Oryctolagus cuniculus: one gene and its partner. The protein of the gene in region 1 purifies or fractionates together with the protein of each later gene. This does not show direct contact. Links are inferred from orthologs where the notes say so. Each region holds a gene or a part of one and is shown in the gene's direction. Other genes may lie near its edges.

Region 1 (4,417 bases):
AATTCCTTTGTGGGCGAATTTGGGGCTGAGGGAAGGCAAGACTGCAACTGGTAGTCTCTAATTTTTATACAATGTTGAAGAAGACATGCTATTAGCTAAATGAAGAGGCAGACATTGAGGCGGGGGTCCTCAGGGGAGGGACAAATGCTGATAGAAGCCATCAGGGTAAGTGAGAGGATGAGTAGATTGAATACAGAGGTTGTGTCTGTACAGCTAAGACACTTTTCAAGCTACAGGGGATATGTTCGTAGGAGGGTGAGTAGGGTACTAAGAAGATAGTCTGGCATCCTACCAACAATGAGCTCCAGTAGGGTGAAAGTGAAACAGAACATTTAAGGAAGTCCAGAACTACCGTGGTCACTTCTGAGTGAGACGGGAGAAGGCTCAAGACTAAATTAATAGTCACCTGGAGAACCGTACCATGCCCTCTTGGGAATTACTTAAACTATCTAGGTTTGCGTAAAGTTAAATAGAAACTACAGCGTCCTAATCCACACGGCTCCACCATCGCTCTCAGCCATCTTTCCTCCAGAACCGGCCCAAGCCTCAGTCCTGTTTCAGAATATAGTTGAGTTCGGAGGCAGGGGGTTTCGGGATCAGCAGGGGGGGACTACACATCCTTCACTCGCCAACAGAGACCTAGATAACGCGACGGGAGATGCCACGCTGGGTCCCTCGGGAGGCACTGACGGACAACAGAAATAATGGCTTCTGACTGCAGCCCCCGCTGAATCATTCGGCAAATATTTACCAGGTGCCTGGACTTCCGGGCACCGTGCCAGGGGCTGAGCTCACAGCGATAAGAGACGCCACTTCTGTCCTTGACGAGAGGATTCACAGCCAGAGTGTGAGTGCCGGGGCCGGGGGAGACGCAAAGGGCTCTGAGCCGGCGACCTCCGGCTTCCACAAGTCCCAGGCTCCTGAGCTTGGCAAACCCGCCCTTGTGCGGCCTCATTCACCGAACGGCGGTAACAAGCAGATGAGTGCCGTCGCAAGCCTTCGCTAAGATAACTTTTGTAAACACGAGCATAAATGAGTAAACACGAGTCTCAGTGGAAGCGACAGTTGGCACGGTCACCCCCTCCGACCCCGACCCAAGACCCCCATCTTTGGAGCCACCGAGGCGCCCAGCGCGCAGCTCGATAAGCCTTCTCGGATGGATCAAGTTCCGCTTCCGCAGGCAGGTCTCTGCCGTCCGCTTTCCCTCACGCGCATGCTCCTGCGGAGGGGCGGAGACCGGAAGGGCGGGGGCGTGGCCGGGCGCCGCGGACGGCCGGCTCGTTCGCTGTGAGGCCGGGCGCGGGAGGCGGGGGCGCGCGCGCGCTCGTCCGCGCGGCCGGCTGCGTACAGTAGTGACGGCCGCGCGGGAGTGGTCACATGACCGTAGCGGCTGCCTGTACAGTAAGAACCCAATATGGCAGCGGCGGTCGCAGTAGCAACGGCAGCAGGAGGACCGGCCGCCCCATAGACCCCCCCGCGCACCACCCCCGCCGCTTCCTCTGCTCGGGCGCTCCTCCGGCCTGACTTCCCCTTTCTCCCACCTTTCCCGGCACCGCGGGAAAAGCAGCGCAGGGCAGAGCAGGCAGGGAGGGCGGCCGGAGCCCGGACACGGGAGCCTCCCAGTCAGTTCAAGACCCGACATGAGGGAAAAGGGCCGTAGGAAGAAGGGCAGGACCTGGGCGGAGGCCGCCAAGACGGTAAGGGGGAGGGAGCGAAGGGAAGGCCGGGAGGGTTTCGTTGCCCTGCCGCCCGCCAGTCGCAGAGGAGGGGAGGTCGCCCGCCCGGCGACCCGGCTGAGGGGGCGCAAAACCGCGCGGAGAGGGCGGCGGTTAGCGTCGGGGTTGCGATCCCTGCGGGAATGGAGGCGCCCGGCGGAAGGAGGTCGTGGCGGGGCCGTGGCTTCTCCCAGCGTGTGCGACGAGCCCCCTGGATGTGTGGAGGCTGCCTCTCGGGGTCACGTCGCCATCGCCCCCGCTCCGTGGGGGAGCCCCCGCCGCGGCTCGGGACGGGCTTGTTGTGCTCGCACCGTGAGCGGGCTCTCGTCCCTTGTGCGGCCGGAGAGCCCCCACTGGCCGCGGCCGGGAGGCAGGCTGGTGCGTGCACCCAGCCCGGGGGAGAAGAGGGGCAAGCCCGGCTGCTGCAGCCCGGCGGAGTCGGCCCGCCGCGGCAGACGAGCCGGCCGCCCCCGGGCGCCCTGCGCCGCTGGCCCTCGCAGCCGGCGCGGGCTCACGAGGCTTTTGTTTTTGTTTGCTGTTGGAGCTGAAAGTGCAGGAGGTGTTTAGAAACGAAGTAACAGGTGGGACTTGTAGGATTTTTTTTTTTTTTTCTGTTTCCGTAGAGACCTACTCCGAACAGGGCAGCAATGCATGGCGGGACGTGTAGTTTGCCCGGCCTCCGCTGGTCCGCAGCCCGGGGGCCGGGGGCCGGGGGCCGGGCCAGGTGGCCGCGGGTGGGCGCGGTAGCTCTCCCCTCGCCCTGATCGTGTAGTAGCGGAGTTGTAGAGGTGGGCTCAGGACAGTGGCGGCTCGCGGCGCGGTGGGAACTTTGGGCTGTGTGTTTTTCAGACGGGAACGGTGCAGGCGCGTGTGTCTGTAGGGATGGAGCCTCACACAGGCGGGAGCGGAGCGACAGGGTTGGCCCGCGGGGAAGCGAGAGTGGGTCCCGCGTGCACGCCGTGGATAATGTCGGTGATGGCTGGGACAGCGTGGGCAGCTCTTGTAAATGAACCTTTTTTTTTTTTTTTTTGAGTGAGGTTTTTCTAAATACAAAAAAAAAAAAGATTCACTTTGGGAACGTTTGGAAGATTATAGCAAAGTATAAAAAAGAAAATTAAAAAAAATCATGTATTTCACCCCTCGGCTATGTCTATTAGCGTTTTGTTATGTTGCTGTCTAGTCTCTTGTTTCCCCCGCATTTTATTAAGCCTCGTGCATTTGTTTTGTAAACCGGGCACATTTGTTTTGTAAACTTTATGCATTAGGGGGTTGATGAGGCTTCATCCTGCCTTTCTGGTTTAGGTGGAAATGTGGAAAGTCAAAAAATAGTAACGCTTTTATTTTACTGAGAATTTTCACCTACAGTACATCTCCGTAAAACTAGGATAAAATGCTAGAAATTACTTTGTTGATGATGGTGGGAAGGTTGCTCCTCCACAGATACTTTCTTCCTGATTAATAAAAGAAGCATGATTAATTTTAATTATAGGTAAGCAGACCTCAACCCGAATTATGTTAATTAATTTTATGTTGCTAGGACCTACAGAGTAGTGAGCTCCTTGGATAAGACAGTCTGATCATTGGGAGATAGTGACAAATAGCAAGAATTAGTCTACATCTAATCTGTGTAGATTTCCCTATAGCAAATTATTCTGTTTGCTCATTTCATTCTCTAAGTAGTTGTATGGAAAATTGCATTTAAAATCTGGAAAGACTAATTTGATCCATAGAGTTCTGGGTGAGGTCCAGAGGGGAGCAGTCTGTTACTTGCTTGTTTGGCAGATCTTCATCCTCATTACGTTTTCTAGGCAATCTCACGTGGGTGTGGTATGGATGTGGTATGGCCCGGACTGCTTTGTTGAGCCTGGTATCAATGCACACATCTGGAGTTCTCTTGTCCTTCATGGCAAACTTCCAGATCTCTGTGAGTGCCCGAGGAGCATGCTTCCTGAAGCCCACACCACGGACACGCGTGTGAATGTTGGTACATCCCTGGTCACCACCTCACTGATAGAAGAGCAGCTCCTCTTCATCCTTCCTGTGGGAGCCGTCCTGCAGGGCCCAAGTTGAATAACTTTTTCTTTAAGAACAAGGGTGGGCCTCTTATGCCTCGTTGAGTATATATTAACTGGTCCAGAGTCCTTTTAGGTCTATGTTTGCATTATATTTATAATCTCCAGCTTGAAAAAACCTTCACTGTTTTATAGTACAAACTAGAAAGTATAACTGGGCAAAATTTTCTTGGCTTGTAGAACACATGAAAATTAGAGCAGGAAACCACTGTAAGGGACACGGGGTAAAAATTGAGAAACTGCTCAGCTGCATACTTTTTTTTTTTTCCCAAAGATTTATTTATTTATTTGAAATGCAGAGTTACAGAGAGGGCCACTCCCCAAATGGCTGCAGTAGTTGGAGCTGGGCTGGTCTGAAGCCAGGAGCCATGAGTTTCTTCTGAGTCTCTCATATGGGTGTAGGAGCCCAAATACTTGGGCTATCTTCTGCTGCTTTCCCAGGCACATTAGCAGAGAGCTAGATTGGAAGTGGAGCAGCTGGGACTCAAACCGGCGCCCATATGGGATGATGGCATCCCAGGCAGTAACTTTACCTGCCAAGCCAGCAGTCCCCTCAGATGCATAATTCTGAAAACAATAGCTGCGTGTTTACATTTGTGGAACTACTTGCCACTAGTCTGTCTGTGCTGG
Region 2 (3,811 bases), on another chromosome or scaffold:
GGGGAAAAGGAGGGGGCACGGCAACAGATTGCTTCCATTCCTTGGTTTGTGCTCCAAGTGGTCATGACAACTGAGGCAAGGCCAGGTTGAAGCCAGGAGCCAGAAGCCCCATCTGGGCCTCTACCACATGGGTAGCAGGAGCTCAAAGTACTTTAACTATCATCAGTTGCTTCCCAGGGCATTGGTAGGGAGCAGGATTGGAAGCAGAGTAACTGGGAGTTGAACTGGCATTCTGATACGGGATCCAGGCATCCCAAGTGGTGGCTTAACCCACTGTGCCACAGCACCTGCTTCTCCTCACCTTTTTTAAACCTACCTTGTCCTTTACTCTGGTTCTTTTCAATTGTTCTTTACTGAGGTTATATTTTCTCTCTCTCTTTCTTTTTGAAGATTTATTTATTTGAAAGGCAGAGTTACAGAGAAGCAGAGGCAGAGAGAGAGAGAGAGAGAGAGAGAGAGGTCTTCCATTCGCCGGTTCACTCCTCAGATGGCCACAATGGTCGGAGCTGGGCTGATCTGAAGCCAGGGTCCAGGAGCTTCTTCCAGGTCTCCCACGCAGGTGCAGGGCCCAAGGATTTGGGCCATCTTCTACTGCTTTCCCAGGCCATAGCAGAGAGCTGGATCAGAAGTGGAGCAGCTGAGACTCAAATTGGTGCCCATATGGGATGCTGGCACTGAATGCAGTGGCCTTACCTGCTATACCACAGTGTTGGCCTCTGAGGTTATATTTTCAGATTCCCTCTCATTCCTTGTAATCTTTGAAGGTCTTTTTCAAATACTAACTCTGCTATGACGTGTCACTACTCCAAACATTCAGTTCAGAGGTAAACTCTTCTTCCTCTGTGTCCTGTTTCTGTAATGCTTTGAGTGCATATTAATGGCACTTACACATATTTTGGCCTTTATCAGTGTGGTTAATTTCTGTTAACTACTTTTGCATCAGGGAATCTGAATTCTGTTTAATGCCATTAAAAATAATCACATTATTCTGAGATTATATGTGCTGAATTCTTATTTTGTGTTCCACAGATTCCATGCAATGGAAAAGCAGCTGATCGCATCCATCAGGATGGAATTCACATCCTTGTGAATATGAATGGTTATACCAAGGGTGCACGAAATGAGCTCTTTGCTCTTAGACCAGCTCCTATTCAGGTAAAGGAATTAGTCACTCGGGATGTATCTTGGACTACAAAGATAGTGATGTATTTTTTTCCCTTAGGCTAACAGATACATGAAATAGTAGAGCAGACCTAGTTATGTTTTAGAAACTACAGTTCTTGAAATGTACAGGGACACATAATTTTGAGTGCAGAACACAGTGCCTCTGGATACATGCATATGTACCCGTATGGAGACATGCAATTCATGGTTGAATTATACAAATTTGAAAAACATTTTGGCACTTAGAAGATTAGTCTAAAATACTACTTTATTGCTCTTGGTTAAAGAAGTTAATCCTAATTGTTAATTTATTTAAATTTGGAACAATTTTTAAGGTTTATTTATATTTATTTATTTATTTTTGCCAGGCAGTTAGATAGAGAGAGAGAGACAGAGAGTTATAGACAGTGTGAGAGAGTTATAGACAGTGAGAGAGAGACAGAAAGGTCTTCCTTCCGTTGGCTCACTCCCCTAATGGCCACTACGGCCGGCGCTGCCAGGAGCCAGGTACTTCATCCTGGTCTCCCATGTGGGTGCAGGGCCCAAGCACTTGGACCATCCTCCGCTGCCCTCTTGGGCCACAGCAGAGAGCTAGACTGGAAGAGGAGCAACTGGGACTAGTACCCGGCGCCCCAACTGGGACTAGAACCTGGGGTGTTGGCGCCACAGGTGGAGGATTTGCCAAGTGAGCCACAGCGCCGGCCAAGGTTTATTTATTTGAAAGGCTGAGTTAAAGAGAACAGAGACAGATCTTTCATCTGCTGGTCCACTCCCCAAATGGCCTCAATGGCTGGAGCTGGGCCAGGCTGGAGCCAGGGGCTTCATCCAGGTCTCCCACTTTAGTGGCAGGGCCACTTGGGTGGGTGGCTTTTCCAGGTACATTAGCAGGGAGTTGGATTGGAACTGGAATAGCTGAGATTCCAAGTGGCAGTGGCTTAATCTACTGGCCAGCCCCTAAATTTGGAACCTTTTAATGAGTGTTCTTATGTTTTTTTTAAACACTTTATTGAGGTGTGATGCATGTACAAAAGAGTCTATCCATCTTTAATGCGTACAGTTTGTTGAATTAAGAAAGAAGTATACCGATGAAGTTTCTTAATCAGTTTCTGGTCTTTCTCTCTTTTAAAGGCGATGTGGCTGGGATACCCTGGGACTAGCGGTGCACTTTTCATGGATTATATAATCACTGATCAGGAAACATCACCAGCAGAGGTTGCTGAGCAGTATTCTGAGAAATTGGCTTATATGCCCCATACTTTCTTTATTGGTGATCATGCTAATATGTTCCCTCACTTGAAGGTATGTAGAAAACTGCCGAGGGGCTGGGATTCAAAGAATTGTCATCATGTATTTCCTTCTTGTTGCTCATATGCACCCTGAGACATGTCTGAAACGTTTTTTTCCATTAGAAAAAAGCAGTCATTGATTTTAAGTCCAATGGGCACATTTACGACAATCGGATAGTTCTGAATGGCATCGACCTCAAAGCATTTCTTGATAGTCTACCAGATGTGAAAATTGTGAAGGTAAGAATCTCGTCAGTGTTACCATTGAAATAATGATAATTGCATTTGAGATCTTTCCTTAATGTATTTTGTATCCTTTTGTGTTTTTAGATGAAATGTCCTGATGGAGGAGACAATGCAGATAGCAGTAACACGGCTCTTAATATGCCTGTCATTCCTATGAACACTATTGCCGAAGCAGTTATTGAAATGATAAATAGAGGACAGATTCAGATAACGATTAATGGATTTAGTATTAGCAATGGCTTGGCAACCACACAGGTGAGAAAAGAATAATAGTCTATTACATGTGCTACCAAGCATGCGTTTATCTTCTTTAACCCTCACAGTTAACTCTAGGAGGGAAGCATTATTATCCTCATTTTACAGATGAGGATGTGAGTTCAGTGGAAATTGGTGTCCTTGTAGGTTTGAATTTAAAAGTCTCTTGTATTCAGCCAGCAGGTTGCTGAGAGAGAGTTTACTGTGTTAATATCTTGTTATTCCCTGCCTGTGGCTATGCTCTCTATCATATGGTGAAATGTGTGTCCTTTTCCTGGGCTAAATTGTACTTACACTTTACATTCAGACAGCTCCTCTCAATAATCTGTTCCTGTACTTTAGGTTTTACCTCTTCAGCCCTACTCCATTGATAACCTCCCTGTTGTGTTTTTGTAATATTTGAGATATTCAACAGAAGACATTATCTCTGTGTCCTCCAGTGAATTGAATTACTCTAGGGCATGTGTGTTAACCACAATAATGTAATATGCACTCAACAAATAATGTATTGCATGCTTGAATAAATGAGTATGCACCTCTGTTAAGAGAGTGTGAGGCTAGGATCCCAGACCTCTTAGGAGTTAACAGTTTCGTTGAAATGGCTGAACCTGCCTAGAATAGTTAAATAACAGCAATAACAGCATAAGGCAGTACTCGCAAGTGTGGGTTTGCAAGATAAGGTAGAAGCTCAGAAATGCTGATGATCAATGTGGGGAGAGACAGTTGCGAGAGGAGACCATTTGGAGGGATAATTTCAGTTTAGCGATGCAATTTAGAAAAGGAATATTTCATTCATGAGAAAAAGAGTGAGCAAAAGCTTGCTGTTGAATTATTAATAGGGTACTGGGAAATTTGGTTAG

What was found.
Region 2: the proteins of ASXL2 (region 1) and OGT purify together in Homo sapiens (affinity purification with mass spectrometry; 3 studies listed by BioGRID and IntAct, with this or other methods). This does not show direct contact. The link is inferred for Oryctolagus cuniculus from reciprocal best matches to the Homo sapiens genes ASXL2 and OGT.

Annotation. Positions count from the first base shown.
Region 1 is NC_091433.1:176,871,074-176,875,490, forward strand, and holds the start of ASXL2 (putative Polycomb group protein ASXL2), read left to right. Parts: upstream 1-1,356; 5' UTR 1,357-1,640; coding exon 1,641-1,697; intron 1,698-4,417.
Region 2 is NC_091453.1:51,360,576-51,364,386, forward strand, and holds part of OGT (UDP-N-acetylglucosamine--peptide N-acetylglucosaminyltransferase 110 kDa subunit), read left to right. Parts: intron 1-1,029; coding exon 1,030-1,155; intron 1,156-2,292; coding exon 2,293-2,463; intron 2,464-2,573; coding exon 2,574-2,690; intron 2,691-2,780; coding exon 2,781-2,951; intron 2,952-3,811. UniProt on the Homo sapiens protein: Catalyzes the transfer of a single N-acetylglucosamine from UDP-GlcNAc to a serine or threonine residue in cytoplasmic and nuclear proteins resulting in their modification with a beta-linked N-acetylglucosamine (O-GlcNAc).